4 linked regions of the Caenorhabditis elegans genome follow. The protein of the gene in region 4 interacts with the protein of the main gene of each other region in a pairwise test. Each region holds a gene or a part of one and is shown on either strand. Other genes may lie near its edges. The genes, in order: gipc-2, ZK512.4, C16C8.4 and Y47G6A.14.

Region 1 (6,641 bases), on a different chromosome or scaffold from region 4:
TCAATAAGGATTTGGCCAAAAACTTCTTCAAACATGTGCAGTCGCAGAGAGCTCAGAAACGATCCGACGATGCGGTTTATGGTACTTTTCAGAAAAATAAATGTTATGATTATTTAGCGGCTTGAAAGAATGCCGGAGTCGAGCCAACTCAATGCATCGGCAAGAGCAATGAGGAAGAAGAAAACAAATGCGCCGAAAACATCCTTGGACTCGGATCTCTTCAAGCCGAATGGGGAACCAGTTTGGGTTGTTCCAGAACGAGCCCCTGGCGATTGTGAAAAGAATGATGAAGGAGTTCCAATCACTAATCCAGAATTGGTTGCTGCTCTTGCAGAAGATAACATTGAAATCGATGAGAAGAGCTGGTTCGATCATATCGGAGACTACATGTCGTGTGCAATGCCACGAGGTGTTACACTGCCAGAAAAGTTAGTCTAGTTTTAATGTTAGGCGTTTAATTTTTCAATACTTCAGCCATACGTTTGACTCTCTTGCTCCACGTGATAAGTTGGAGGCAAATAGTGATTTCGTGAGTCAGGAGACTGTTGCGTACAACACTGTTAAGAATTTGGTGGAATTGAGTGAAGGTTTGAAACTTTTTAGAATGCGATTTCTTATCATGTGTTTTCAGACGCAATCAAACGTTTTTCAATGAAACGTGATGGGATTGATGACAGAGCACGGCCTACAGTAACCCAGGATACAACAGTTGAGACTACGATTGAGACAACAATGCCACTCCCTCCTGTTAAAGCACTGTCAACTGATACGATTTCAACAACACCTGGAAAAGCGATTTCCTTCCATATGAAGAACGTTGTCTGCTTGAGTTATGACGTGAGTTCATTTTCTAAATAACTTTATCTAAAAGCTTCAATCACAAAGTGTTTATACTTTGTCTTTACAGCGTAATCATCCTATTCAATCAATTCGAAAGTTCCGGAAGAAAATGAGCAGCAAGGGAGTAATGGAGCAATCAACTCAGCCGAAGGACAGCACAAAGGAACTTTAGCTTTAATCATTTTCATTCACTATATATAAAGCGCAGTGTCGTTCTGTCCCTATGTAGTTTGAACTTTGATCTCTGATCTTTGAACTCTCTTTTCTGTAGTTGAAGGGATATTGGGTTGGGAGTTGGTGATGGATAATGTCAAGGGACTGTAGTAGTACTGTAGGTGTACTGAAGGGTTACTGTAGGGTTACTGTAGGGTTACTGTAGTTTAGGAAATTTTGATTTTTCAGCTTTTGAAGGGATATTGCGTTGGGAGTTGGTGATGGATAATGTCAAGGTACTGTAGTAGTACTGTCGGTGTACTGTAGGGTTACTGTAGTTTAGGAAATTTTGATTTTTCAGCTTATGAATGGATATTGCGTTGGGAGTTGGTGATGGATAATGTCAAGGTACTGTAGTAGTACTGTAGGGGTACTGTAGGGTTACTGTAGGGTTACTGTAGTTTGGCAAATTTTGATTTTTCAGCTTTTGAAGGGATATTGGGTTGGGAGTTGGTGATGAATAATGTCAAGGTACTGTAGTAGTACTGTAGGGGTACTGTAGGGTTACTGTAGGGTTACTATAGGGTTACTGTAGTTTAGGGAATTTTGATTTTTCAGCTTTTGAAGGGATATTGCGTTGGGAGTTGGTGATGGATAATGTCAAGGTACTGTAGTAGTACTGTAGTAGTACTGTAGGGTTACTGTACTTTGTTTAAGGTTGTGGTGTGATGGTTTTCAAAATTTAATCTTTCAGCATATTCGAAAAAACTTAAACACATGCAGCAGGGAAACAAATTCTGCTTACTTTTTTTTATAGAAAAACCTAATGAATTCAGGGATGTGTCAAACATTTCAAATTTCGCCAGTCGTTGGCCGCGCCGGAGGCGCGGTCAGCGGCTGGTCAATTGTATAAAAGGAGTACTGTAGCGTTTCATCAAAATAAAATCATTGGAAACCTCTAGAATGCCGATTCTTGTTGGAGAGAATACAATTGCAAGTTGAAATCTAGCACCTACGGCGCGGCCCTCGACTTTTTTGAGAAAGCACATTAGATGTACGGTGTCTATCGCGGACCTCGATCGATGTCTGCTGCGTATTTAGCATAAGGTTTCCCAAAATGATCAGAGATCAAACTACATAGTGACGGAACGACACGCGCTTTATATATAGTAAATTGATTTAGAAACAATTAAATTCAGCTAGGACAAGAAAAATAATTTATTTGACAATACAAGTTAGTCAAAGAGTTTCATAGCCGATGGTCTTGAAATAGCATTCTTCATGACTGGCATTGGCTTTTTCTCACGTTGTTCGCGTTTCAAATCACCAATAATTCCCCACATGTCGAATACCAATCCATCCGGGAACTCGAACATTGAGAGCTCCGACTGTTTGATGGCTTCACTGAGTTGCCAAAGTGTCTCGCAGTTTGAGGCAGTTTCCCATATTCTCATGGCCAATTGATCATCTTGAACTCCCAAATATTGGTCGAACAGTTCGTTGAGTTTCCCGCACATCTCAGCCTGGATCATCTGATCTTGAATATCTTCAACAGCAAATCCACCTTCCGATTTGAAACGAATGGTTCCTTTTGCTAAATCTCCGCCAGTTTTCCTAGTCATCTTCATAGTTCCTGGATCCGCACTCTTTGGAGCAATCAATCGAATGATACATTCCTCGCCGCGACGAATACTTTTCAACATACGAGCAACTTGGTAATGTCTTTTACCGAGCACAGACTCTCCATTAATCGCCTCAATGAGTTGACCAACTTGTGTTGCTGGACGCATACGATCGAACACCGAACCTGGGCTTATGACCTTGATAAATGCATTTCCGAGTCCGTTGTCAGTGACTGTCACTCCAAAGACGTTGGCGTCTTTGACCATTCGGAGCTCAGTTGCTTGTCCGCGAACGTGTGCAAAGAGCATATCCTTGAAGTTGAGTGTTCCACTGAACATGTTCTTCATGTCTGGCTGAAAATATTTCGAATTAGAGGAATTAAAGTATCAAAGCTTGCCTTGAAATCATTAACCGTCAGGAAAATGATATCGTCTTTTGAGATTGCAAAGAAATCAGCAATTGATTGGTACAATTCCTCCATATCGTTCCATTTGTCAATGATTGCAACTGGAGATCCATGAGCCAACTGGCAGGGAAATTTGAGCTCTTTTGCTGCAACCATCAATGGGTTCACCACTGGCATGATTGAAGATGATGGTTCTTCGACAATTGAAGCTAAAACGGCAGGCTGAATTGGATGAGCTTCTCCATAGTTGGAGCGACGATTGAAGGCTCCACGAGATCTTGATCGGCTTCTGAAATATTCATGGTAACCTGAGATCTGAGACTCGGGCTCATGAAATGCATACCTAGAACGGCGGCATGGGGCTCCTTGTCCTTGCATTGCGAAGAGTTAGTTGTAATTAGTTGTTGTAAGTCGAGTAAATCGATGAATGAAGGATTTACCAGAAAATTGATTATTTATAGACATTGATGTGGGCGGAGCTTGGATGCCAACCAAAGTGGGGTTCCACGCTGAGCAAGTTCATTAAAAAATATAACTTTAGAATATTTTTTCGTTTCTATTTATTCATGTATATGCTTTCTTTTTTTACCTGTTTTTAAACTCAAACACGTGTAACAAGTAAAATTGTAATTCGGAAAAAATGTATAGATTTTTGCCTCAAAATCCAGGGTTCTTTGATCTTTGACTTTGCATGATTTTCTTGATACTTACCGTGATTTTGATACTTCTTATTAAAAAAAATTTTTTTTTTGGCAAAGTATAGGCTTGATGAAACGTTTCACTCGTGTCGGGACCCGGGGACGTGTATAATCGTAAATCTCAGAAGTCTGTGGCGAAAATATTAGACTCCTGCTGTTCATAAGCTCAAAGAGGGTGATGTACTCATCGGAGGAGCCGAACAAAGTGAAGGATGTAAAATTTAGAACTTCTAGTTAGCTATATGATCCTTTACTTCATTTGAGTAATGAACTGAAAACATACGTTCCAATAAGTGAGAAGCCATCGTTCAAAACTCGCAAAACATTAGAAGCATTGTTAGGAGTTTCATGCATGTACAATAAACAATCGTAACTGTAATAAATAAATTTTAAATTATCTGACAAAAAAATATGTTGAGAAGAAAAAACAAAATGTTCTTGAGGCCCACGTGCCTACCTGGCTGCCTACCGCCCATTTCTCCGCATTTTGATTTAAAATTGATTTTTTAAATCACTGATTTATTATTTACAATCATGTGCAAAGTTTTGCTCCATAAATACATCTGGTCTCCACACGACACATTTCTGTTACATACAAAAATGTTTTGTTAGGCGAAATATATGAAAATAAGTTATTCGAAAATTCAAAATTAGTCGTGCCGAAGGTGGACATTCTGTTTTTGGCAAAAATCGCGTATCTCAAAGTTATTCTTTAGTGTCTATTAGTCCACAACTCAAGTAATTCCGAACCTTTGAAATTGACATTCCAACTAAACACGTCATTGTTAGTTGACGCCAGTTAGCGGTGAATTTTTCATGTTATAGAAAAATATATTTAATGACTTATTTATTTTTATCCTTACATACATCGGAAAAAAAAACTTTTTTAAATTTACAAAAATATTTTTTTTTCTATATTTTTATTTTTTCCTTAACCTCTTCCACGTCTTCTCGAGAGCGTAAATAACTTTTAAAAAACTATATTTTCAAAAGGGAGCAGACAGTTGATATTAACAAACCTTTTTAAATTTACAAAAATATTTAAAATCAAAAGTTCACGAAAGGTCACTGGTTCATCTTGATAACGACTGCTATAAATAAGGGTAATATGTTCAGTTTATACAACTTTAACATAAAGTTTCAAAAAGATGTCTCTGACGGCCGATCCACCAGCGTGCACTGTTCCAGCTGCTGGAGGTGCTTCCACCCACAAACTTGTTAATGCTGGAGCTGAGAAGATGATCTTCAAGATCAAGTCTTCAAACAACAACGAATACCGCATCACTCCGGTATTCGGATTCGTTGATCCATCTGGTTCAAAGGACATCACAATCACTCGTACTGCTGGAGCACCAAAAGAAGACAAGCTTGTTGTTCACTTTGCCGCTGCTCCGGCTGATGCAACTGATGCCCAAGCTGCGTTTGCTGCCATCACTCCAGCTGGAACCATTACAATTCCAATGTCGGCAACGGCTTAGACGTTTAAATCGACGAGTATGATGAGACAAAGATGAGCATTTTGGAAAAAAGAGATTTGAATGTTTTGAATGAAATATTTGAATTGAAGTTTTTGGTTTTTATTATTTCACATTGGTTTCTTACTAGAACTGCTTAGTTTCAATAAGAAACCAAAGAATTTATCATAATTGTGGCTAAGAAAGTGCCCACTAAATATTTTAACCAGGAATTGGAAACCCGGGATCATATCACTTTCTAGGTTTCAAAGCGGTTGATGCCAATCACTGCCGATCAGCCAATCACAAGGTATAATACCAGATAAAATGATGGAAGTAATTAATCCAATTAATTTCAGGATTCTCACCCCAGCTCATGTGTGACGACCTCGAGTCTTCCAGATGTCATCATTCTCGTCTGCCTCCTTATTCGGTCTACGCTATGCTGTGTGATACAAGCTGTGATCCTTAGCCTTATCCAAAATCTTCTCTCGTCTAAAACACCTGATAAAAAGTTCAATCGGGTCAGAAGTTTCGAGATAAGCAGCGAAGACGCGAACATACATCGACCAGCCCGTCACCATCGGAATAATTTGCTGTTTTTTTAATCCATTATATTTTTATACAAATAAATTTATATGAACTATCAACTGTTATTAAAGAACCACTAATTTCAAACCAATGGCGAATAACGGGTGAACAACTAGCTGGGCATTCGTGCGTCCTCATCACTTACCGGTCCGTTTTTCGTCAGTTTTTCATCGAATAGCGGTCCGGGTCTTCACAAAAGCCATGTACCGTTTTTGCGAGATAGCGGCCCGTCACTCGACGAAAATTCATGACGCGGTTTACCTGTGTCCCAACTCTGCCACCGAGGGCATTTTTTAACTCAATGTGGTGGGTGTCACATTTTTGGTGGTCACACAAGCTGAGATTTGCGTAGCCCTAATATACAGTACATTTAAGCGGAAAAACTACAAACTCTACTTCAACTTTCAAAAAAGTTTCAGAAATTTTTAGTGGTTTGAAACTCACAGTGAACGGAATGAAATTAACTCAAAAATTGAAGAGAAATTTGTCGTTGGCTGTTGGTAGTTGGTGGTATTGCCCAAAAATGAGCAAAAGAATGAGCAAAGTAACGTGGAAATGAGATGGTGTATAGTGAATAGTCAAGAGAAGACAGTTGATTGAGACTAGAAGTATAATAGAGCAAAGCAATTAATGAATAGAAAATCAATAAGTTCTATTCGTGGAGAAAGTTCACGTAGGCCAATATCACGGATTAACATTGCTAATTGGGGCGAACACGTCTCGCTCCAATTGGCACCTCCCCCCTTCATTGAAGAGTCACGAGTTCCTTGACGAAAGGACATCCGACCAGAAGCGTTGTGTGTACTTCCGTTGTGAGTGGCGGATTGACCGATTGGTTTAGAGATCGGTCCTCGGGTATTGCAGTTTCCATGTACA
Region 2 (6,103 bases), on a different chromosome or scaffold from region 4:
CCAACCAAGTCACGGCCAACAAGTCTGATTGTTCCGAATACTGAAACACCAAGAACTGTATCTCCAGCTAGTAAACCTCCTCTTCCACCACAATCTGTTGAACGGGTTGAGAGGACTGAAGATGCATCACCTGCTCCACTTCCACAACTTCCGATCCGAAAGCCACCTCTGCCACGTCAACAGTCCAGTAACGATGATTCTTTGAATGAGAAAGTGGAAACCATCCGTAGAGCTCATCAACAACGTCAAGATGCATCTAGAGCTGCATCAAGAGCAGTTTCAAGTGAAGAATCAGAGGGAGAGGATTTTCCCGTATCCACCAACCGCGGTAGAATACGAATAGTTTGTCGCGCGGCATCTGTAAACCGTGATGATGGACTGATGAGTATGATCCCAGGAACTGGTACGATCATAAATGTTCCGCCACCTCAACATCAACTTCCGGCATCCGCTCCGATCACCAATGGGACATCTGAACAAGTCGCGATTCCAGTCACACATTTCACAGGTGAGGAAGACGAAAGTGACATCGTCGTGCCAGCGTGGTTACAGCGTCGGAGGCAACGCTTCCAACGCTCGCGCACAAATCCCGACATACAGGCACAGTTCACAAGTGCTCGAGTGCAGCAGCTTCTCGCCGAACGTCAATCTCGTTTAGACTCTTCTACGACAACCGACGAAGAGAAAGAGAAGCTTGCCGTTTTGCGACAGCGTGGCCGCAGCGCTTCTCGTGAAGCTGGTGAATGGAGGGCTCGTGGTAGACCACGTGCAGTATTCGGACGAAAAGGTGCGAAGGATGGCGAGTTAAACTGGCCACGTGGAATTTGTGCATTGTCCGGAGGTCTTGTCGCAACTTGTGATTCGTCTAATCATCGTGTCTGTGTTTTCGATAAAGATGGAAAATTTGTTCGTCAGTTCGGAGGCTACGGTGCCGGTGCCGGACAACTTGATTCAGCTGCCGGGCTAGCAAGCTCAAAGCTCCGAGTTATTGTATCCGACAGGTACAATCATCGAATTTCCGTTTTTGGATTGGAAGGAGATCATTTGTTCTCATTCGGTGGACATGGACAGGGAAATGCTAAGTTCAATAATCCATGGGGAGTTGCTGTCGATGATTTGGGAAGTATCTATGTGGCTGATAAGGTAGGTCAACTATCATGAGACGTTTCTCAGTAATGCGAAAGTTCATAATTGTATACATTTTGATAAAAATTAACTTTGTTTATTAATTATCATCAAGAGAAGAACTTTGTTTTTGTAGATTCATATATTGCAGGCAAACCGGACGTCCGGTATTTTGAGTATCATTTTTTAATTTTTTTTTTTTTGGAAATTCGGACGCCGGACATTATTGTGGTCCGCTTTGCAGATCTAGATTAAATTTTAAAAAACATTGCCCCACATGCTAAAATACAAGTGAAGCTTAAATTATAGGATAATCACCGCGTCCAAGTCTTCGACAAAAATGGTCAATTCATTGCAAAATTCGGATCTTTCGGACATCTACCTGGTCAACTAAACAGTCCATTGTTCATAGCAGTTAGCAGAGTTACTCATCACGTGAGTGATTCCAGATAGATTCATGAATCATTCTGAATCGTTTCAGGTGTATGTATCAGATTCTTCGAATCATCGAATCAGCGTATTCGATCCCCACGGTGTTCATTTGTTTTCATTCGGCGAGGAAGGTTTTCATGGTGGACAATTCAAATTCCCACGTGGAATTGCTATTGATTCACAGGTAAGGCTGGAATGCTAAAGAAAAATTCTAAACCATTCATTTTCAGGAAAACCTAATAATCGCCGACTCCGGTAACAACAGGATCCAAGTTTTCGACGCCCAAGGTCAATTTGTCTCCTCTTTCGGAACTTGGGGTGGAGGAGCTGGACAACTGAAAGGTGTCGAAGATGTTTGTGTCACTGCTGACGGTTCAATTGTTGTCACCGATCGCGAGAATCATCGCATTCAGATCTTCTAAATTATGTTTTTTCGGGCCTTATTCTTGTTTCATTTTCAATTAAAATGTCTCCTTTGTAATTTTCTGTTATCGATACCGATGCCACCCAACTTTTTAGTGTTTTCATCTTTAGGTACAAAGCACTTTTACAAGTATTATTAATTATTATTACCCATTACGACTTTCGGTTTTAAAACACTTCTGTTTTCGAGTTTCAATAAAATATTTATTGAGAAAAAGGAAACATTCATTGGATTTCCGATTGCATTCGATTGTGGATTCTAAGCTTTGAAAGTGAAGAGGCAAGTTTGGCCAGCTGTTTGTTGGAAGACGGTGAAGCGCTCGTTGGCGGAAACTTCGTATCTGAAATTACAATAGCATTTATTAAATGAATGTTTGTATTAATCTAATTTTCTTATATTGGTTTCTACTTAGCTTTCTACGTACCTACTGTGCTGCCTAAAATTACTATACACCTAAATACATGTAGTAGGCCTACACGCATGCCTGCTAGGCCGGCAGGTGGTAGGCACGTATCAGTGAAAACGCGCTTGGATCCTATGAGAAGGTTAATGATACCGTGCAGAATTGACGAACAAATTTGTAAATTTTAGCTCTTATAACGGCCATGACATTGAGTTCACAGTGAGACCCATCCAAAAAATAGCATTTGCCTTTAAAGTGATGATTCCAGTTTTCACAAATTTACGATAATCCATGAGCTACATTAATCACCTCTTTCCACCTTCCTTCATCTTAGAAATTTTGAGAAGTCCACCCTTTCCAACATTGTACTCTTTTTCTGCCTCTGGAACTCCGCCCATCAACGTCATGATAGCTGGACTTCTGACAGGCAAGGAGCTGTTGGAATGAGCCGAAGTCACCGAAATCTCCTTCTTCATCATTGGTTGCTGGCCACGACGATTGTACGGATGCTTTGGAGCGTCTTTGTCGATGCGGCCACGCTTCAAAAGTGCAATTTCATCCATGAACTTGAATTCAGTTGGATTTGATGCCAACGACAAGTGCGTGCTCACTGGACTTTTTCCTTCGTCCGCAGGAATATCGACAGACTGAAATATTTTCTTCTTCATTAAGTTTTTCAACCACGTATTGTATGATACAGGTGCGAAACTTGGCAATTTTTTGCCTACAGCTCCTGGTCTCGGAGCGACAAATTGTTGTCAGATGCGGGAGGGTGTGCGCCTTTAAAGAGTACTGTAACTCCAAACTTCATCGATTATTGTTACCACTTATATTTTTAGTTTTTCAACAAATTAATAGTGTGTTGGAAAATCACTAAACATTCTGCAGCAACTAGACAAAATTACAGTACTCGTTAAAGGCGCACAACACTTTGCATTTAACAACAATTTGCCGCGTCGAGACCGGGCACCGTATTCCAAAAATCGGATTACAGCGCACACCAATAAAATAAATAAAATTACCTCTGCTCCATCAAAAGACACTGTCGGATAGTGTTGATCATTCTTGATTGAACGCGATTTACGATGCTTACGAGAGCTATCGTTCCGGTGAGACATTATTTCTTTGTCAAGCTAGAGGAATAAATTCAAACTGAATTTATTGATTTTTAAAGCTTTGGTTTATTTTTCTATCTGTAGTGTTGAAGTTCAAGTTCACGTATTTGAAAAACAATTTCATTCAATAAATATAAACTTTTTTTATTTAAATACTTAATTAAACCATAAACATAAAACAAAGCGTGTTTATTGAGTGACAATACCGCGAAGCAGGGTCGATGACAACTTCTCCAACTTTTTTACATCCTGCAATTGATTCGTACTGTATTGAAGGCAGACCACGTCATCGGTGAGCTTCAGCACGAGCTGTCCCTTTGTGTGGTTGTACTTGGTGACGAATCTGAAAATCAAAGTTTAGTTGTCACTAAAACTTTTGGAAATCTCCATGAGGAATGTTTTAGGGGATTTTTATTTAAATTCAGCTGAATATGCCATAAATAACAAAGAAACTACAAAAAAGTTGGTTGCAGAAATATCGACAAAAAGATTTTCCAGGAAATAATCCTTTAGTAATTTATGTTTCTCACGAATAAAAATTATTGATAAAATTGATTTTCTTTCGCTTTTCTATTTTATGTAAATATCGCACATTTAAGTAATCTATAACATTTTTCAATCCCGAAAGTGACGGTTTTTTTAAAATATTACGAACTAACCTGCATTTCTCCGGATTGGCACTATGAAGCCTTTCAGCAGCTTTTGCAAATTCGTCCCAGCTTGTGAAGTATGTCATTGTTTCGAATCTGAAAAAAAACTTGATTTATAAGTATGGAAGTATTTGAATAAGTAATGAGCGCAGAAAAGAAGGAAAGACGATTTTGGAGATTACTAACAAATAATATTATTAAAATATTCAAGTCAATTAATTCATAAATTCACTAGTAAAATAGTATTATTAAATTTTAATATTAAATAAAATGCTTAAAACATAATTTGTTGCCGGCCACATTTCAAGTGTCGTAAGATTCACTGCACTGGACGCAGAGATGCAATGCCGGTGTTTGCGTACTTTTCGAATTAATTTTTTTTGCTGAATTTTAAGAATTTTTAGATAATCTTTCTTATTCCTTAATAGTTTTGAATGGGTTTTAGTCTTATAATTAAGTGAGATTTCAATCTAATTTTTTCAACAGCTTTCGTATTTGAAAATTAACTAATTTTCATAGGAATTGACGGAATACTAAATATTTTCCTTGTTTGCTTTAATTAATTACTTCTAATGAATTTATCTTCTTATTAAACGTTTTCTCCGTTTAAAATATCTTTCCCAACCTTTATCTTTTTTCAGCCGTCAAAATGACATCAAAAGTGGGTCCAGTAGCCTTGAAAACGTTCCGCGAGAAGCTCGGCCCGGAACTGCTCGAAGTATTCGATAAAAGTTACAAATCGTTCACAGATGTACAAGTAAGTTTATAATAGTTTATTTGATCGAAGTGAAATTATATCAAGTGAGGAAATGTCCAAAATTTCCAAAGTAATCAATCCTTCTTCAATTTCGCATCCTTTTTTGCATCGTCCCAAGGAAATCTGAACGGATGAGCAGGTGTCATATCTCTCCATTCTCTATCTATATCGATATCGTATTCTTTAATTTTAACGTTAAAGCATTTTGCCATCACTATCACAAATATAACTGCCACAAGAACCACGAGAAAAGCAAACACGTAGAAAGTTTCCTGAAATTAAAATAATGTTTTTAATTAAACATTTTCCACTTAAAATCCAATACCTCATCAAACAACTCGTTGAATGTTGGAACTGCTTGATTCATCTGATGAACAACGTCCAACATTAATCGAGTTTTCCCATTTTTTCGCTTCCCTTGATAATAATACGCTCCCCAGTCCTGTTTCGGTTTGTTCATTCTCTAAAATCAAGAATATAAAATAAAAATGTTTGAAATATACAAGAAAAAGCATAGCATAAAATGGGTCAGAAGGGTGGGAGAAAGGATATTGATCGGGAGTTAGAGAGACGCAGACATGAGAGCAAAGGAGGAGTGTGCTCTCCTCAAAGCTGAGGAAAAAGCCATTTGATGTAGAAAGTAGTAGGAATGCATCTTTATTTAATTATCCAATTTCAGGTTCTCTCTGGAACACATCTCCTTAACCTGTCTGATGTTGTCGTTGAATCTCCAACTGGATCTGGAAAGACTCTTGCTTTCGTTTTACCAATGATGAGAATGATTCAAAATGCAAAACTTCAGCCTGCTGACATTGGAGCACTTATTCTATCGCCTTCAAGAGAGCTCTGCAGTCAAATCGTTAGCGTAATTCAACCATTCGCAGAGAAACTCAATTTAACTGTGGAAACAGTTACTGGAGGACAGAAAGTGGACAAAAATATCAAGATGTTCAAGAATAAAAAGTATGTTCGTATTTTTATGCGGAGTAAAAGATGAATTACAAAAAGTTCGCCAAAAAAAGCGAATTTCTTAATGAGACCTCAAAAAATTTCCATCATTTTTATGACGGTTTGAAAAATCGAAGAAAAAATCGAAAGTTATAGCAAAAATTAGTTTTTTTTTTTAGTTTTTGAGCTGCAAAAATATGACATTTTTTGGCAAATCTCATCATGAAATTCATTTATTTTTGCACATTT
Region 3 (6,296 bases), on a different chromosome or scaffold from region 4:
CATATTGGGATTTTCAAATGTTTCGTGGAGTTTGTCGCTGGGCTCTGATTTTTTTAAATTATTTTTGGGACACACGTGTTGTCAGGCTGACCCATAACTTTTTGATCTACAATACGGGAATTTTTCGTCCAAAAAATGTGACGTCAGCAGACAGTCTCTCCTCCCGCATTTTTCGAAAATCTACGTAGATCAATCAAATATGGGACGCTCTGACACCACGTGTTAATAGCAGTTAAAATGAATAAAAGATTGTGACACAAAGGAGTAGACAAAGTTTTTTTTCGCTATTGTTATGTAAATTTTTGTAGCTACAATAGAAAAATCTTTCCGGAAAAGCCAACAAGTAGGAATTTATACCATTTTCTTCTTGTATTTTTGTTCAAAAAAAATGAATTGGTTGACACTTTTCATACTATTTGGTGCCATTTCCAAAATCGAGGCCTTCATAAATAAAAACCCTCTGGAAAATTCCGATATTGCTGAAATACTCCCTGGGGATCCTGGGGAGAATCCAGAAGAGTCTGAAGAATCTGACCGCGCAGGAGTTTCAAGAGAGCTAGAAGAGGTTCGAGTTCTAGAAGAACCAGAAGTTCCAGATGTTCCTGAAGCCCTAGAAGAGCATGAAGTTTCCCAGGAGCTAGAAGAAACTGATCAACCAGAAGATCCCTGTCAATCCTGTCCTATGATTAGCTTGGAGGATCCAGAAGATCCAAGGATCAGCTTTTACATGTAAGTTCCTAATTATGAACCTCAAGTCGTGCTTATTTTTTCAGTGAAAGTGATCTGAATGATGGTTGTTCTAAGCGACAAGCCACTTGCGAGGCCAACCCCGGAACCATGTGCTCAAATTTTCAAATTCACGTGAGTTAACCAACTGTAAGAGTTCTGAAGCCTGTACTTTCAGGCAGAAACCTCAGCTGGAGCAACAGTCCCAGTGGGAAGCTGGAATGCTAACGGAGCTGAAAGTTCTTTGTCGTGCCAAGATGATGGTACATGGCTAGATCAAGAAAATCCAGCTCTAGCGGACACAGTGTAAGTTAGGCTTGTGAGCCTGGAGCCCAATTAACTTCAATTTTCAGTGTGAACGTGGTCAAGCTGGTCTGCTCGTACGATTGCGAATGAGGACTAAAATACACTTTGCATTTTGAAATTTAATAAACCGAGAGTCAGTTTATTTCAGAAACGACATCTATAAAACATTTGAACAGGCCAATATAACACCATTGCCACGTAGAATTTTGAGACTTTTTCCGTTGAATCCCGTCGATTTTCCAGCTAGTCGGACTGAGAAAACTCTGGAATCATGAACATTTTAGGGCTAGATATTGCAGATTACCAACTCACCTTATTCAAATACCACTTTCCATTTCTAGATTTCGATCCAGAGATTTGCAATTCCGCCTCAATTCGGTTGTAGGACACGTATCGAGCACTTGTTACCGTAATTTTGATTGTCTTGCTAGATTCGATAAGTTTGTCAGCGTACGGATCATCACCTGGAATTTTATCTTAAGCTTCAGCTTAGGCTTAGGATTAGACTCAGGCTTAAGTTTAGGCTTAAGATTATGCATAGGATTAGGCTTAGGCTTATTCTTATGCTAAGGCTTGTTTTCATCAATTTATTCATCAAACCGGCAGAAAAACCATGAAAAATTGCCCGAAAGATTCACAATAAAGCATTTCTTCACCTTCTTTACCAATTCTAGTGAGACTTTTCTACTTCTAACGAACCTTTTGTGACATCAAATATTTTGAGAAGGGTTTTCTTATCACCGGAGCTCACTGCTGTTTCAAGAGAGGTGATCTGCTTCTCTACGATCAAAACGGGACTTGGGTGCGGAATAATGAAGCTCGGAACATGAAAATTGGCGGAGCATCTGATTCCGAGAACGAGAAGTACGATGAAACAAAGCATTGTGATTTTTAGGAAATGAATTTATTCACGTTTTTGAGTTGAAAAAAATTTTTTATTTTACCAGAGAATAATAAGAAAAGCTTGATTTAAAAATAAAAAAGAACGCCAGAGATAACGTATTATTAAGCACGCAAGTACCGTAATCCAGTAAAAGTTTTTTTTGTAATTTTTATGTTTTTTTGTATTTTTCCGGATTTTTGGAATTCCTAAACACATTTTCAATTGAAATCGGAGAAAAAATATTCGACGGAAACAGTAAAACTTTATTTCACACTATTAAACAACATGTTATTGGGGCATTTTTCGGGTAAAAATCACAATTAAAAAATAAATCGATGAGATGATCATCCAGAACGGAAGTACATTGTAATTGTAGAAGATTTTTGAATATTGTAGTCGCCGATTGAACAATGATCCTCCAATCTTTTTCCTGAAAATTTTTTTTTTAAAATCAATTTTTAACTAAAAATCTATTTTAACCAACCACTGAAACTAAGCCAATATGAATGTTGGGGAATGTCATGACGATGTTCAATATCATTTTTTATATCGAAAACTGTATCTTCTCGGTGAATTTTGAAAGCGTAGCTCACTCCCAGAACCTTCACAAAAATTTGAAATTCTGGTTTCGGAGCAGCACGATTTTCGCAGTTTTTCCGACTATCCATATCACTTCTCAACGAATGCAAATCGTATTTCATATTTCTCAAATCTCTTTCCATTTTCACAATTTTCGCCGAATGGGATTGTCTCATCATTTCGAAATGTCGCTCAAAATCCAATTTTTGCGCCGCCTGGGCAGTTGTAAGTGTCTCCAATTTGTCTCGCATCGATTTCATCTCTGTGTTATGCTTCAATTTGATAATTTTCTGCTCATTTCTCAGCTTCTCATTGAGAATATTTTGTTCTTCTTGATTTTTCAGAAGTTGTCCACAAAGTGTTTGAGTTTCCAGGAGCAGCTGATTTTCCACGAAGCTGGACGGCTCGGATGGAAGTTTCTGGAAAATATAAATTAATTTTAAAAGTAATAATCAATAATAACTAACCTGGATGAGGGAATATTGAATTTTGGAAGTTTCCTGTCGAAGTTTCTCGAATTCCGACATCAAATCCTTCGAGTTACTCATTTTTCGTGGGCAAGTCTAAAAATAAGATTCATTTAGTTTTTAAAACTTGAAAATTAAAATTTAAATACTGAAAAACCCAGAGAAATGGAAAGAAAACAACGCGTTGTTTTTCTTTTTCAACGAATTATCATGAAAAACAATGCTCGTTATTAGTAATGCAAAGTCCGCAAACACCTTGCGTACTTCATCATCTACAGTAGTTAACTGTAAAAATCACCCGAAAAATGTTTTCAAAGTTTTCTGAAAAATATTCGAACTGTCTTATAACTGATTCTCCATACGATGCTCATATTCAAAATAGAAAAATCCATATCCAGTTTATATTCAAAAAAAAAATTTATTACAAAAATAAGATTAACAAATTATATCAAATTGGCAGGTAACAAATTAATAATCATAGTAACGTTCAAGAGCAGGGTAGATAATTTTTTTTTTTTTTTTAGATAAATTTCTCGAGACTGATCAATATTGTAAGATCCAATCGAGCGATTGTCCTGAAGCTTCTGACCACCTGAAAAGTTTTAAAAATTGTGATGAAAATTGGTTTTAACAAACCATAATACAGATTAAAACTTTCAACCAAATCGTTGTTGAGCAGATTCGCCACCTTCACTCTTACATAACGAATCAAATAAGAATTTCGTACTTCGACAGCGTGGTACTTGTAATCATCGAACACGAAAATTTCAAAAAGTGAATTGTCCGCAACTCGGTTTCCGCCATTCTTCAGATTTTCCAGCTCCTCCTTGATCTTTGCGTTCTCAATTTTTTGATTTTCTTCAACTTTTTGAAGTCTCTTCTTTAGCGACTTCTGTTCTTCGAGTAGTTCTGCGCAAAGCGATTTGACATCCAAGAGCAATTGATTTTCGACGAGTGTGGAGCCGTTCGGAAATTTCTGGAAAAAAATATTTTTATTTAATGTTTTAATATACTTTTTTTCCCAACCGATTCAAGTCGAAGTTTCTGCAATTTCGACATCACATTATTCGAGTTGTCCATTTTTCGCGAACAATTCTGAAAATATTATATTTCAAAGCATTTCGCGTTTTTCTGGCATTGAAAATCAGTTTGTAAGCATTAGACTGTAATGAGAAGAGATTTGAAATTAAAAAAAAAAAAAAAAAATTTTTAATATGAGCAATGCGCGTCATTTGCAATGCAAAGTCCGTAAACACTCTGCGTACTTCCTCGTCTACCGTAGTTTCTTCGAAAATTTCGTTCGTGAACATTTTTCCTTTCAGTTTTTCAATTTTGTTCAGTTTTCTTGAGATTTTTGGAGTTTATTTTCCGAATTGTTCTAGAAAATATCTAATTACGCCAGAAAATGTGGTTTTATTCGCAAGCATGCTGTTGTAACCGCTAAAACACCAATATCTCAAAAAATGTTTTTTTTCAGATTCCAAAATGTCGGAGCCGAGCAATTTGGTGTCTAAATTTCAAAAACTTCGCGTTGAAGCTTCCAAGATACAGAATGAGTTTAAAGAGGTTTAGTTTTCGAGCTTACACATTATAAGAACATCAATTTTCTTCCAGAAACCCAGCTATACGCTGTTCAAAGAGACTCTGGACATAAGCGAGAAGCTTTTGGAAAAACAATTCGAATTCAACGATGAGATGAAGCAAATTCAGCAGAACGTGATGTCGGAGTTGAAATCTGTGAAAAAAGAACTGAAACAGGCGACATCAATTAAGGATCTTCTTGAGATTCTCGAAATAATCCAGAAGATTTTTAAAAAACAAGACGAATTTCAGCAAGTCCAGGAAAATCAAAACAAATCGATCGAAAATTTGAATTCGGAATTGAAGACTGTCAAAGCAGAGCTGAATGAGACGAAAAAGCAACAAGAGTCTCAGGAAAAATTGATCGACAATTCGGATAAAAACTTGAAACTGATTTTAGAATCGATATTGAAATTTCAGAAAAGTCAAGATCAGATTATGATGAAGATTATGGAAGGATCAGCTGTGCAAGACGTCCCACTTGGAACTGTAGAATTGACAAAAATTGACCCATTTTTTGAGATTTTGGTTATCTGGACCGAATCGTGTGGCATATTCGCGTCTGAAAACCACTGGAAACTTCGCGTGTGCGGATCGGATACAATTCGACACATCAAACTTCGCATCAATTCACTTGCAAAAGTAGACATCAGCTCGTTCAGAATGGTGCTTCGTGGTTGGTTGGTTTCAAAGTAGATTTAAAAATAAAATTCGAATTTCAGGAAAACTTCTCGAAGACCACCACTCTCTCGCCTACTACAACATTCAAGAAGGCGCATTAATTTGGCTATACTCTCGTTGAATCATAATTATTCTAATTTTCATTCACTTTTTTCAAGATATTGTTATTTTGCGAATAAATAATTGTTAACTAAAATTGTTCGCTTTTCACAGATTTTTTTTAAAAATGATTCTGCAATCATTTGGATATTTGATTTACTCAAAAATAAAAGCAACTTTCTTGGTTTTCGGTTCTTGTTCAGTTTTTAGAGAGTTTTTTCTCGAATTTACCTGGGAAATTAGAAAAGTTAACTAGGAACTTCTTTGCATTTCAAAAATTATCAAAAAGCTTTTTTTTTTCAGATTTAAAAATGTCGGAGACAAGCAGTTTGATGTCTCAATTCCAAAAACTTCGCGTTGAAACTTCCAAGATATACAATGAATTCACAGAGGTGAGAATAATAATAATAATTTATTACGCTCGCTGGGAGACGTGAAGGAATACAGAATACAAAAGTTATCATTGTTCGCTTGAACTAGAATTGGTGCAGTCGGGCAGTTGTTTCCATTCCATTAGAATGTTGTCCTTGTCCTTGCTTGTCCTTGCGCAGACTCCCCCATAGTGGGCGAACGATTCCCGAGTGAAAAAAAAGATTTTGAAAAAACACGATTGTCAAAAAACCCAGAAAAATCAAAACAGGGTGATCGAAAATTTGATATTGGATTTGGAGATGGTCAAAAATGAGACTAGTGATATGAAAAAGCAACAAGAGACTCAGATTTTGAAGGAACAAGACGAATTTCAAGATGAGATTAGGCAAGAATTTCTGAAAATCCAGGAAAATGAAAACAAATTGATCGAAAAGTTGATGTCGGAATTGAAAACTCTCAAAACAGAGCTGAATGAGACTAAAAATCAAATAAGTGACCTGCATAATGCAACAAAGCAACAGGAGTCTCAGGCACAATCGATGAATGATCTTCTAACCAAGAATTCGAATAATAATCTGAAAATGATGCTGAAAATTCAGGAA
Region 4 (10,773 bases):
AAGATTCGCCCATTTTATCAAGATCCGGTCATAAAAGTCTGTAAAATATTTTGTTTCCGATCAAGGGTGCTGGCGAATATCCCGCTATCGCTCGTCTCTGCAGTTGCCATTGCCAGGAAAATCCATGATTGAAATGTTCTCAACTTTTTAATTTATTCAAGTTGTTATACAGACCGAAAAATTCGAAAACTCATTTAAATATAAAATTCATAGCTTTAAAACTTGAGCATTTCTCAGTCGGATAATTATGCGTCGCTAGTAGTTCCAAACTCATTCTCCACTGCGTCGAGGCGTTTCTGCTGCATTCTGACGACAGTCTGGCTCATATCAGCATTCGATTGGAGAGAAGAAATTGCGTGGTCCGCCTGAAAATGGTAAATTTTCTTATAATCTTTCTTTACTTTTCCGAACAAATTTTCGATTTTTCGGTTTTTTTTTTTTGTTGAGCAAAACCGAAAAAAAATCTGAAAAAACTTCAAAATCGGAATTTCTCATCAAGAATGCAATATTTTTTATTACGGTTTACGCGTATTTCATACAAAAAAACAGAAATTGCACTTTTTTGAGCAAATTTGACCGCAAAATTTTTCACTTTTCGGTTTTTCAAAAAATCGAAAACCCCGGCAGGCTTGTTTCCGAACCTTCTCCAACTCGTTCTGAAATCCCTTGACAACCTCCGCTTGTTCCGGATGTCCACGACTTTCCATTGCGATTTTCGACATCTTGGTGATTTTCTGAACATTTTTAAATATTTCAGATAATTATTTAATTGAAACCCACGTCATCATATCCTTCCAACTGTGTGATATAATGTTTGAAGGTGTCAAGAAGAGCCGAAAATTTGATATTAATCTCATCTTTATGCTTTTCAACTTTCGAGAAAACCTTGAGCGAGGTGTAGGCTTCCTGAAAAAAAAGATTAATTATTTCTCTTATTATGGGAACATTTAATTCTGAGAATGCGTATTGTACAACATATTTGACGCGCAAAATATCTCGAAGCAAAAACTACAGTAATTCTTTAAAAGACTACTGTAGTGTTGATTTACGGGCTCGATTTTCGAATCAATTTTCTGTTCGAAGTGTGCTTTAATAAATGATTTCCGTAAATCGATACAAACGCTACAGTAGTAATTTAAAGAATTACTGTAGTTTTCGCTTCGAGATATTTTGCGCGTCAAATATGCTGTATTATCAGAATTTTGTGTTCTCGTAATAAAGGCTGGTTCACAAAATTACCCAAAATTACCGAATTTTTCTTTTTCTTTATAAATTATGTCGGTTTTAAAAATTGGGAAAATACATTTTTTCTTGCTAAAACCTCAAATTTTGAAAGCTTTACAAAGTCAGAACTTGCAGAAGTCAGTTTTCATTTATTTATCACATTTTACTACACATTTTGGTCGATTTTTGTGCATTGCGACCGAAAATGTAAGAAATTGTGATAATTAAATAAAAATTTACTTCTGCAAGTTCTGAAAATACGCGTTTTTTGAGAAATTTTTGGTCTTTTTAGGTGTAAAATTAAGTTTTTACCTGAACTTGAGAATATCTGACAGTCTTGTGCTCGCCGTCAGAATGATGATGATCGACGATACAATTCGTGCAAATCGGCAGAGTTTCAAGGTCAACTGCGTCGATTTCAGTTGTTTCGAGAAGATTGTCAACGAGTTTTCCGACGACTTCAATGCATGTTTTGCAGCAGCGGAATCTGTATGGAAAAAATATTGATTTTTTTTTTGATTTTGCAGAAAAGTTAATTATTTTTGAACTCCCGCGCAAATTTTCTCGGAAATTGGCCAAAAACTCGATTTTTTGCGGAAAAAATGTCTGAAAAAATAGAAAATCTTTTTTTGCTGCAAATAAAAAATATACATACAATTTCAGGCTGAAAATTTCAGTTTTTTGAGTTTTATTGTGAATATTTTTTAGAAATTAAAAAAAAACAGTCAATTAAATTGAAAATAACGAAAAATGCTCAGCAGACGCTCCAAATATTTCAATTTTCTGTGAAAATCGGCTCCAAAATATCCAAAAAATGAGTTAAAGAACCTTTCGACGGTCTGCTTGGTCATACACTCGCTGCACGTGAGCTCAAAAATTTTCTCGACGGGCTCTTGGCATTTCGTCTCCTCGTCCTTTTTGTTGATGGCCACGAGAGCAGTGAATGATTTCTGAAATTTAATTTATTACTCAGTCGCGAAATTTTGCGCGAAACTACGGTATCAGGTCTCAACACGAAAGATTTTTGTTGAAGGCGAGAAGGTGTGCGCCTTTAAAGAGTACTGTAATTTTTGTAAATTTTGAATAAATTGACAAAAAAAGTATGGGAAAAACATCGATTTTTCATCGTTTTTCTGTCGAAAAAAAATTCCAAAAAGTGAAATTACAGGAATTTTTTTCGACAGAAAAACGAAGAAAAATCGATGTTTTTCCCATACTTTTTCTGTCAATTTGTTCAAAATTCACAAAAATTACAGTACTATTTAAAGGCGCACACCATTTCGAATCCAGCAAAAATCTTTCGTTTCGAGACCCAAAACCGTATTTTTGACGCAAAAATGACGATTTTTTACTTGATATTCCTTGTCCTTATTGGCAATTTCCAAGCACACAGACTGTACATAATCTGACATTCTTTTGATTTCCTGATCAATTCTCTTGGAAAACTCCTCTTGGACATCACTAGACTTGCTTTTTCTCATCATATCCGTCATCTTGTCGAGCTCCTGGAATTATTTGATTATTGATTGAAAAAATAATATGGAGACGCAGAAAAATGCGCCTTAAAATTTAAAAATCAACGTGGAAATGTGCTCCGCCTCCAAATTATCGGTCTCGTTAGGTATACATGGCGGCAAAACTGGAAAATTCAAAAAATTCGAATTTCAATTGTTTTATGTCGAAATTGATGAAAAAATTGTTTTTAAATGCATTTTTAACGTCATTTTTCCGTAAAAATCACGAAAAGCAACAGAAAACTTCTTCAAAGATTTTGTCACCAAATATTTTCAAAAATCAAAATTTTTCGATTTTTTTAAACGATTTTTCGTGTTCCGAGGAAAAAAAATTGAATTTTCACTAATTTCCGAAGAAAAATTAGTTTTTTAAATCGAAATCCACTTTTTTTTTTGATAAATTCATAGTATTCTTCCATTTTTTCTCCTAGATTATCTCTGAAAATATCCGAAAAATCGAAATTTTGACCGCGCACATCGATTTCAAATATCAAATCAAAATCACCGTGTGGAATGTCTTATATGTCGATGCAAACCGAGCATACCACGCATTGGTGAGCCCAAACGACGATTCGAGCTCAATTCTCAGAAGAGAAATACTTGTAAGCTGGCTTGCGAAGTTCATTCCGGACTGAAAATTTACAATTTTAAGTCTTTTCTTTACAAATAAATTTTTTAAATATACCGCAACCGGGAAATAAGCCACAGTCTCGTGGCCCTGTGTGACATGAGATCGCAGTGCACAACTTCCACAAAGCGCCAACGATTTGATATCCAAATCCACCTTAAAAAATCATTTTTCAATTTTTTTTTTTTTTTTGAAATTGGATATTTTCCGGACCTCGGCACCCAAATTCTCCACGACGTCGTATTTGAAGGCATCAGTGACGCAATTGCGGCAGACGAACATGCTGGAAATTGAATTTTTTTGTTATTTCTAATTAAAAGAGGCCTACTCCGATTCGTTGTCGTATTTGGTGCATTGAGTGCAGTCCACTGCATTTGCAGGCTTCTTTGGCTTCTCACGAAGCTTTTGGATCATGGTCACAGCATCTGAAAAATAGTTTTTTTCGGGAAATATGAATATTTTTAAAACTTGTCAATGCAAAGTTTTTTGTTCGCTTCTCCTTGCTAACCACGGCCTGAAATTATTTTATTTTTAAACAGATATCAATATATTTAAGCCATACGCGGCATGTCGGGCATTGTGTCTGGCCACCAGATCCATATGCGTCAGAATAATCGCTTTTCAAGTGCACAATGCAAGTTTCGCATAGAGAATGGCCACAAGATATGATGAATGGAGCCTTTTGATCATCTGAAAATAAAAATGTGCTTGTTTTACAATAAAAATTGGGATATTTTTCACCAAATTCTTCCTGGCACACAGGGCAAGTCGGGAGTTCTTCATTAACATCCATTTTTCTCGAAAATTCTGAAAAATAAAGTTTTTTAAATTAGAAAAATCAATATTTTTAAATTTTCGTTATTTTTAATCGTCGAATAATTGAAATTTTCGTTTAAAATTAAGGAAAAACAATTTATACAATTTATATCCGGAAAAATTAATGTTTTTGCAAATATTTGAGTTTCAAGCGTTTTCGCTTCAAGTCTCAAGGAGGATAATGTGCTTGCGCCTTTAAAAACTACAGTAAGACCTTTGTTTATTTCGTCATCGAATTTCAATGTTTTGAATCAAATTTCCCGTGATTCCGGTTTGATTTTCACAATTTTATTATGTTTTTACACTATTTAATGAATTTTAATTCAGTATATAATAAAATCCATAGATTATCCACACTGAAAATCTACCAATACCGTCAGTTTCTCAAAAAAAAAACATTTGCCCAAAAAATGCCTGTTTTCCATGGAAATTCACATTGATTTTTAATTTCACAACGTTTTTTTTGCCAATTTCTTTCCAAAATTTCTCAAAGTACTTTCGCAAACTAATCGTTCACTTTTGCGTCATGGCTCTGTGCACTGGAAACTAATTTCAAACGACGCGCGCATTGTCTTGTGCGATGGAGCGCGCTTGCTATTTTCTAAAAAGTGCTCAGTATTTTTGAAGCTTTATGGTTTTTCCTTGTATTTTGCATAATTTTAAACATTTTTCTCGAGAAAAAATATTCGAAAAAGTAGAAAACGGCTGAAATTTGGTTGTTTTTAATTTTTTCCCTCGTTCCTCAATCTTAAAATCGAAGATTTCGTCATCTCTCACTGTTTGCGCAGTGCATGATTATGATAATTAAATTCTATTGCAGAAATGTGGCGATTATACCGAAAAACGCCGAAGCAGCTGAGAAATTCGGTCGAATCATGCTTCAAATCTGTCAATTCCCGCCAATTTTCAGTCAGCTCATTTTCAGCAGTAGCCAAAGATGATGTAATATTACCGCCTGCCAGTATACTGAAAATTCTGAATTTTTTTGCAGAAATCCGTGCTAAAACAACAAGAAGTTCTGCATCTTCTCGCAAAAGATCAGCGATTTGAAGAGCGATTCTTCAATCAAGTACAGCAGACAATTCGATATTTCGCCTCGAAACCAAATGATTTGAAAAAGTTCTTCAGGAAGGAAGCATCGACGGATAATAAAGGTTTTCAGAGGGAAATTATCATTAATTCGAAGTTTTTTCCAGAATCTTCATCATCTTCTGACAAAAAGGACAGCAAAGGAAATAAGGGAGAGGATAATAATCCGTTTAATCAATTGTGAGGAGGAATAGACACAAAAATCGGCTAATTTTGGCTAAAATCTGAAATTTCGCCCAAATTATCATCATTTAGATGCTTTTCACCACGTTATTTTGTTTATTGAAGTCTCGGAGAAGCCCCGGAAATCATTTCTAGTCGAATTTCTTTGGAGTATTTCAAAAAATTGACTTTTACAGGTTTCCCGGGCCGTATTTTGAACTTTTTGGCAAAAATTGTCCCAAAGATCCGGAAAAAACTTGTAAAATCCAATATTTTTAAAATAAATTGGTGATTTTAGCTAAAATTAGCAGTTTTTTTAAAAAGTTTTATTGGCAGAGCAAAAACCGTGCCAGAGTTGCAAAAATTGGCGTTTTTAGCATTTTCTCCATTTTTCCAGATTTTCAAAAATCGAAAATTCGGGATTTCGGAATCATTTCAATAAAATTCAAAATTTAATGAAATCACGAATTTTCCAAATCGTTGAAAAAAAATTCCGAGAAAAAAAAAACAAAAAAACGCCCATTTTTGCAATTCTGGCACGGTTTTTTGCTCCGCCCACGATGTTTTTGAGCGGGGCACCACGTTTTCAAGATCTACGAGAAGAAGATCTACGTTTTCAGGATCTGGCACCGTGCCAAGTGCAGTTTTCGCAGTTTTCTCGAAGAAAATCGAAATAACGATGCTCCGATATTACGCATCGCGAGTTGTTTAGCGTTTTTCAGAAGTTTTTATTCAAAAAAGGTTTTTCTGACTAAACAACGTGCGATGCGTAATATCGGAGCATCGTTGCTTTTTCTTCGAGTAGACTGCGAAAACCGCAGTTGGCATGGTGCCAGATCCTGAAAATGTAGACCTCCTTTTCGTAGATCTCGTTTCCGGCTAGATCTTGAAAACGTGGTGCCTCTTTTGAGCACATTTACCTTTTCTAAGATTTAAAAGTGGGGTACCGAAATCTGGAAAATATTTTCAAATGTCTCCAAATTTTCTTCTCATTCCAAATATCGATGTGAAAAAAATCAAAACAATTTTCTAGATTTTATATGATTTTTTGAAAATAGGAAAAATCACAGTTTTCACCTAATTATTTTTGAATTTCCGCCAATTGGATTTGTTCGGTGGAGCGTGCTTGCAGTATTTTTATCAATTAATTTTTTTAAATTCTTGTTCTTTGACTGATTTTCTTCATTTTCTATGTTTTCTCCTCGGAAAATGGAAGAAATAAACAAGACAAATGCAAAATTCTTGTTAAAAAGTAATTGAAAATGAGTAAAACTGTGAAATATACTAATTTCAGGCTTGTTGCCGTCGGAACTCAGAATATCACAGTTTTACTCATTTTCAATTACTTTTTAACAAAAATGTTGCATTTGTCTTTTTTATTTCTTCCATTTTCCGAGGAAAAAACATAGAAAATGAAGAAAATCAGTCAAATAACGAGAATAAATAAAATTAATAAATAAAAATAATGCAAGTGCGCTCCACCGAACAAATTCAATTGGCGGAAATTCAAAAATAATTAGGTGAAAACTGTGATTTTTCCAATTTTCAAAAAATCATATAAAATCTGGAAAATTTTTTTGAATTTTAATATCATGATATTCGGTCAATGTGACCCCATAGGCGCGTTTTAAAGCAATTTACCCACTGAGCGTAGTCCACCTTTAAAAAAACGGAGAAAACCTCTAAAACCCCTTAAAATCAATCTAATTCCTCCAATTTTCAGCCCAGGAGGATGGCAACAAATTGCCGTTTCAGTTGGAATTCTGCTCGCTCTCTACGCCTTTATGGATTATCAGTCGTATCGTGAAATTTCCTGGAAGGAGTTTTACAGTGATTTCCTGGAAGCTGGACTTGTCGAGAGACTTGAAGTAGTTGATAAGCGATGGGTTCGAATTGTTAGCTCGTCTGGAAAGTATGCAGGAGTTAGTTTTTTAGTTTTTGCACTGAAATTCGTGAAAAAATGAATTTTTTTCTTTCAGCAAACGTGCTATTTCAACATCGGAAGTGTGGATAGCTTCGAACGGAGCCTCGGAGCTGCTCAGCATCATCTCCAGTATGATGCTGATCGACAAATTCCGGTTTTATATAAATCTGAATTCAATTTGTAAGGATTTCTGCAAAAATCACTCCATTTCAAGAAAAATTAGAGAAAAAAAGAAAAAACCCCCGATTTTCTTAAAGAAAAAGCTCTGGGAAATGGGAAAAGTTATAATTTTTGCATGAAAATTCAGAAAAACTTTTAATTTTTCACATTTTTTGTAGTTAAAATTTTGTTTTTAAAGTGAAAACCTTCAGAAAGTCACTGAAAATGAAAATTTTGCACAAAAATTATGGAAAAAGTTGCTTTTTGCTCGTTTTTTGCACTAAAATTTCAAAAAAAAAATCCGATTTTTCTGATTTTTTGCCTGAAAATTTCAAAAACAAAAATTAATTTTGCTGGTTTTTTGCAGAAAAATTTTTAAAAAAACGCAGTTAGGCTGTTTTTTGCCTAAAAATTCGAGAAAATCTCAATTTTGCTGAATTTTTGCACTAAAAGTCTTTTAAAAAATCCGATGTTTCTGATTTTTTGCCAAAAAATTCAAAAAAAAAAATTTTGCTGATTTGTTGCACTAAAATTCCAAAAAAAACTCAATTTAGCCAATTTTTTGCACTAAAATTCCAAAAAAATCCGATTTTTCTGATTTTTTTGCACTAAAATTTCAACAAATATCAATTTTGCTGAATTTTTGCAGAAAAAATTTAAAAAATCGCAGTTAGGCTGTGTTTTGCCTAAAAATTCCAAAAAAAAATCCGATTTTTCTGATTTTTTTGCACTAAAATTCCAACAAATATCAATTTTGTTGAATTTTTGCACAAAAATTCAAAAAAAAACGCAATTTAGCTGATTTCTCGCACTAAAATTCTTTTAAAATTCTGATTTTTCTGATTTTCTGCACTAAAAATTTGAAAAAATCCAATTTTTCAGGCATTTTTACATTAAAACTCCCCCAAACTTCAATTAAAAACCTTTTTTTTTCAGCAAACGCGAAATCCCAAACCTCATCAGCGTCGCATTCCCTCTTCTCTTCGGCTATTACATCTATCGAATGCTGAAAGGCGGTGGAGCAGCTGGCGGAGCCGGAAGAGCTGGTGGAGGTGGACTCGGTGGAATGTTTGGTGGATTCGGACAAAGCACGGCTAGAGTCATTAATCGAGAAGATATCAAGGTGAAGTTCGCCGATGTTGCCGGTTGTGAAGAGGCAAAAATCGAAATTATGGAGTTTGTGAATTTCCTGAAGAACCCCCAGCAGTACAAGGATCTTGGCGCGAAAATTCCGAAAGGAGCCATTCTAACAGGACCTCCTGGAACCGGAAAGACACTTCTCGCGAAGGCAACCGCCGGCGAGGCAAATGTTCCATTCATCACTGTATCGGGATCCGAATTCCTGGAAATGTTCGTCGGAGTAGGACCTGCAAGAGTCCGTGACATGTTCTCAATGGCTAGAAAGAACTCTCCGTGCATTCTATTTATTGATGAAATTGACGCAGTTGGAAGAAAACGTGGTGGAAAAGGTGGAATGGGTGGACACTCTGAACAAGAGAATACTCTGAATCAGCTTCTCGTTGAGATGGATGGATTCACAACTGATGAATCGTCGGTCATTGTGATTGCCGCCACGAATCGTGTGGATATTCTCGATTCGGCACTCCTCCGACCTGGTCGCTTTGATAGACAGATCTATGTTCCAGTTCCAGATATCAAAGGTCGTGCTTCAATCTTTAGAGTTCATCTTGGACCACTTCGGACTTCCCTCGACAAGACTGTGCTTTCACGAAAACTCGCCGCCCATACACCAGGATTCTCTGGAGCCGACATTTCGAATGTGTGCAATGAGGCTGCGCTGATTGCGGCGAGAGATGCGAATCACGAGATTTCAAATAAACATTTCGAACAAGCCATCGAACGAGTCGTCGCTGGAATGGAGAAGAAGACGCAGGTTTTGCAGAAAGAGGAGAAGAAGACTGTAGCCTATCATGAAGCTGGGCATGCTATTGCTGGATGGTTCCTACAGCATGCGGATCCTCTGTTGAAGGTTTCTATTATTCCACGAGGAAAGGGTCTCGGATATGCACAGTATTTGCCGAAGGAGCAATACTTGTATTCAAAGGATCAGTTGCTTGATCGGTAATGATGATGCAGTTTTTAAGTTTTTATTTTTCAAAAAAATTTCCAAGAAAAAACTGTTAAAAACTGTCAAAATCGCGATTGGAAACACTTTAAAATCGTGATTTCTGGATATTTATAGTATCAAAAAGTGCTTTTATGAGATTTTCCCGACAATATTACACTTATTGCTTGATCGTAGTTACAAATTGTGCAAAATCGTGATTTCTGGAATTTTTTGAATCACGAAAACGTGATTTTTAAGCAAAAAGGTCCCCAAAATTTCACTTTTATGAAGCTTTGGCGGCGGATATGCACTCTAAAATTTTTTAATTTAATTTTTTTTAATCATAATTTTGAACCAGGAATAAGTCGACATTAGTTCGAAATTTAAAAAAAAAGCTCAAACAAATAGGAAAAAAGCTAATTTAACTTTTTCTCCCCAAATAATAAAAATCTTAATATTTTATTCAGAGAATTGAATTTTTTCGAAAATTTTTAATCTTTCCCTTCATTTAGGATGTTTTCCCAAAAGATTTCACTGTACTGATAAATTTTTAGCTGAAATTTTTCAATTCAAAATCAATATTTCTGATTTTTTTCAATTATGCATATTTCAAAAAATATTGTTTTTTTTTCGATTTTGCGATTTTTTACCAAAAAAAGAGCCAAATTTTGTTGGCAAAAGAAAACCTTTAATTTTTCGATATTTTTCAAAATTTTTAAAAATTTTTCAGAATGTGCATGACACTCGGAGGTCGCGTCGCCGAGGAGATCTTCTTCGGACGAATCACAACTGGAGCACAAGATGATCTACAGAAAGTTACACAAATGGCATATTCACAGGTTTGGTTTATTTTATTTTACAGCTTTATTGAGACGGAGCAAAAGTTGCAAAAAGTATTCGAATTTAATCTAAAACCGGCGATTTCTTGTCGAGAGCCTCTGTCAATCCTTCACAAATCGTCGACGCAATGCCAGTGTCCGGATCCACGTTGCATGTGCATTTGACTGGAGCCGAGCCGCTGAGAGCCGTGAAAATAATCAGAATTTGGAGAAGAAGAAGAAGAAGAATCAGTTGAAATTTCATGATTGAATGGATGGGGGAATGTTTGACTGAAGAGCTCTGAGAGAGCAGCTTTATCTGACATATGAAGTCGATTATGTTTTTGTTTCGGCGGGAGGAGAGCCAAGGA

What was found.
Region 1: the proteins of Y47G6A.14 (region 4) and gipc-2 interact in a two-hybrid assay, tested with the Caenorhabditis elegans proteins (one large-scale study listed by BioGRID).
Region 2: the proteins of Y47G6A.14 (region 4) and ZK512.4 interact in a two-hybrid assay, tested with the Caenorhabditis elegans proteins (one large-scale study listed by BioGRID).
Region 3: the proteins of Y47G6A.14 (region 4) and C16C8.4 interact in a two-hybrid assay, tested with the Caenorhabditis elegans proteins (one large-scale study listed by BioGRID).

What each region holds. Positions count from the first base shown.
Region 1 is NC_003282.8:10,024,215-10,030,855, forward strand, and holds gipc-2 (PDZ domain-containing protein), read right to left. Parts: upstream 3,453-6,641; 5' UTR 3,401-3,452; coding exon 3,366-3,400; intron 3,312-3,365; coding exon 3,014-3,311; intron 2,970-3,013; coding exon 2,229-2,969; 3' UTR 2,199-2,228; downstream 1-2,198. Other genes in the region: F44D12.8 (PHD-type domain-containing protein), read left to right, coding at 1-74, 118-428, 475-587, 632-837, 908-1,012; msd-2 (MSP domain-containing protein), read left to right, coding at 4,869-5,198.
Region 2 is NC_003281.10:9,143,482-9,149,584, reverse strand, and holds ZK512.4 (Signal recognition particle 9 kDa protein), read right to left. Parts: upstream 4,246-6,103; 5' UTR 4,236-4,245; coding exon 4,159-4,235; intron 3,843-4,158; coding exon 3,689-3,842; 3' UTR 3,626-3,688; downstream 1-3,625. Other genes in the region: RING finger protein nhl-1, read left to right, coding at 1-1,143, 1,435-1,560, 1,607-1,741, 1,788-1,979; ZK512.8 (uncharacterized protein), read right to left, coding at 2,240-2,321, 2,694-3,031, 3,407-3,502; ZK512.11 (uncharacterized protein), read right to left, coding at 4,981-5,178, 5,232-5,366; ZK512.2 (putative ATP-dependent RNA helicase DDX55 homolog), read left to right, coding at 4,799-4,906, 5,586-5,869. UniProt on the Caenorhabditis elegans protein: Component of the signal recognition particle (SRP) complex, a ribonucleoprotein complex that mediates the cotranslational targeting of secretory and membrane proteins to the endoplasmic reticulum (ER).
Region 3 is NC_003280.10:3,441,324-3,447,619, forward strand, and holds C16C8.4 (Ubiquitin-like domain-containing protein), read right to left. Parts: upstream 3,058-6,296; 5' UTR 3,043-3,057; coding exon 2,962-3,042; intron 2,914-2,961; coding exon 2,400-2,913; intron 2,346-2,399; coding exon 2,260-2,345; 3' UTR 2,165-2,259; downstream 1-2,164. Other genes in the region: C16C8.17 (DUF281 domain-containing protein), read left to right, coding at 1-48; C16C8.27 (DUF281 domain-containing protein), read left to right, coding at 389-729, 774-861, 905-1,032, 1,080-1,122; C16C8.22 (PLAT domain-containing protein), read right to left, coding at 1,167-1,295, 1,345-1,496, 1,732-1,915; C16C8.5 (Ubiquitin-like domain-containing protein), read right to left, coding at 3,405-3,553, 3,598-3,937, 3,988-4,041; C16C8.16 (Ubiquitin-like domain-containing protein), read left to right, coding at 4,447-4,527, 4,576-5,218, 5,265-5,344; C16C8.20 (Ubiquitin-like domain-containing protein), read left to right, coding at 5,634-5,714, 6,294-6,296.
Region 4 is NC_003279.8:3,462,130-3,472,902, forward strand, and holds Y47G6A.14 (RING-type domain-containing protein), read right to left. Parts: upstream 6,059-10,773; 5' UTR 5,993-6,058; intron 5,452-5,992; coding exon of another isoform or gene 5,379-5,451; intron 5,337-5,378; coding exon of another isoform or gene 5,174-5,336; intron 5,125-5,173; coding exon of another isoform or gene 5,005-5,124; exon of another isoform or gene 5,003-5,004; intron 4,174-5,002; 5' UTR 4,160-4,173; coding exon 4,108-4,159; intron 4,057-4,107; coding exon 3,929-4,056; intron 3,881-3,928; coding exon 3,835-3,880; intron 3,792-3,834; coding exon 3,695-3,791; intron 3,650-3,694; coding exon 3,580-3,649; intron 3,523-3,579; coding exon 3,424-3,522; intron 3,370-3,423; coding exon 3,244-3,369; intron 2,730-3,243; coding exon 2,577-2,729; intron 2,175-2,576; coding exon 2,053-2,174; intron 1,712-2,052; coding exon 1,537-1,711; intron 907-1,536; coding exon 781-906; intron 735-780; coding exon 642-734; intron 366-641; coding exon 246-365; 3' UTR 141-245; downstream 1-140. Other genes in the region: AFG3-like protein spg-7, read left to right, coding at 5,005-5,124, 5,174-5,336, 5,379-5,451, 7,157-7,355, 7,413-7,537, 8,453-9,598, 10,315-10,423.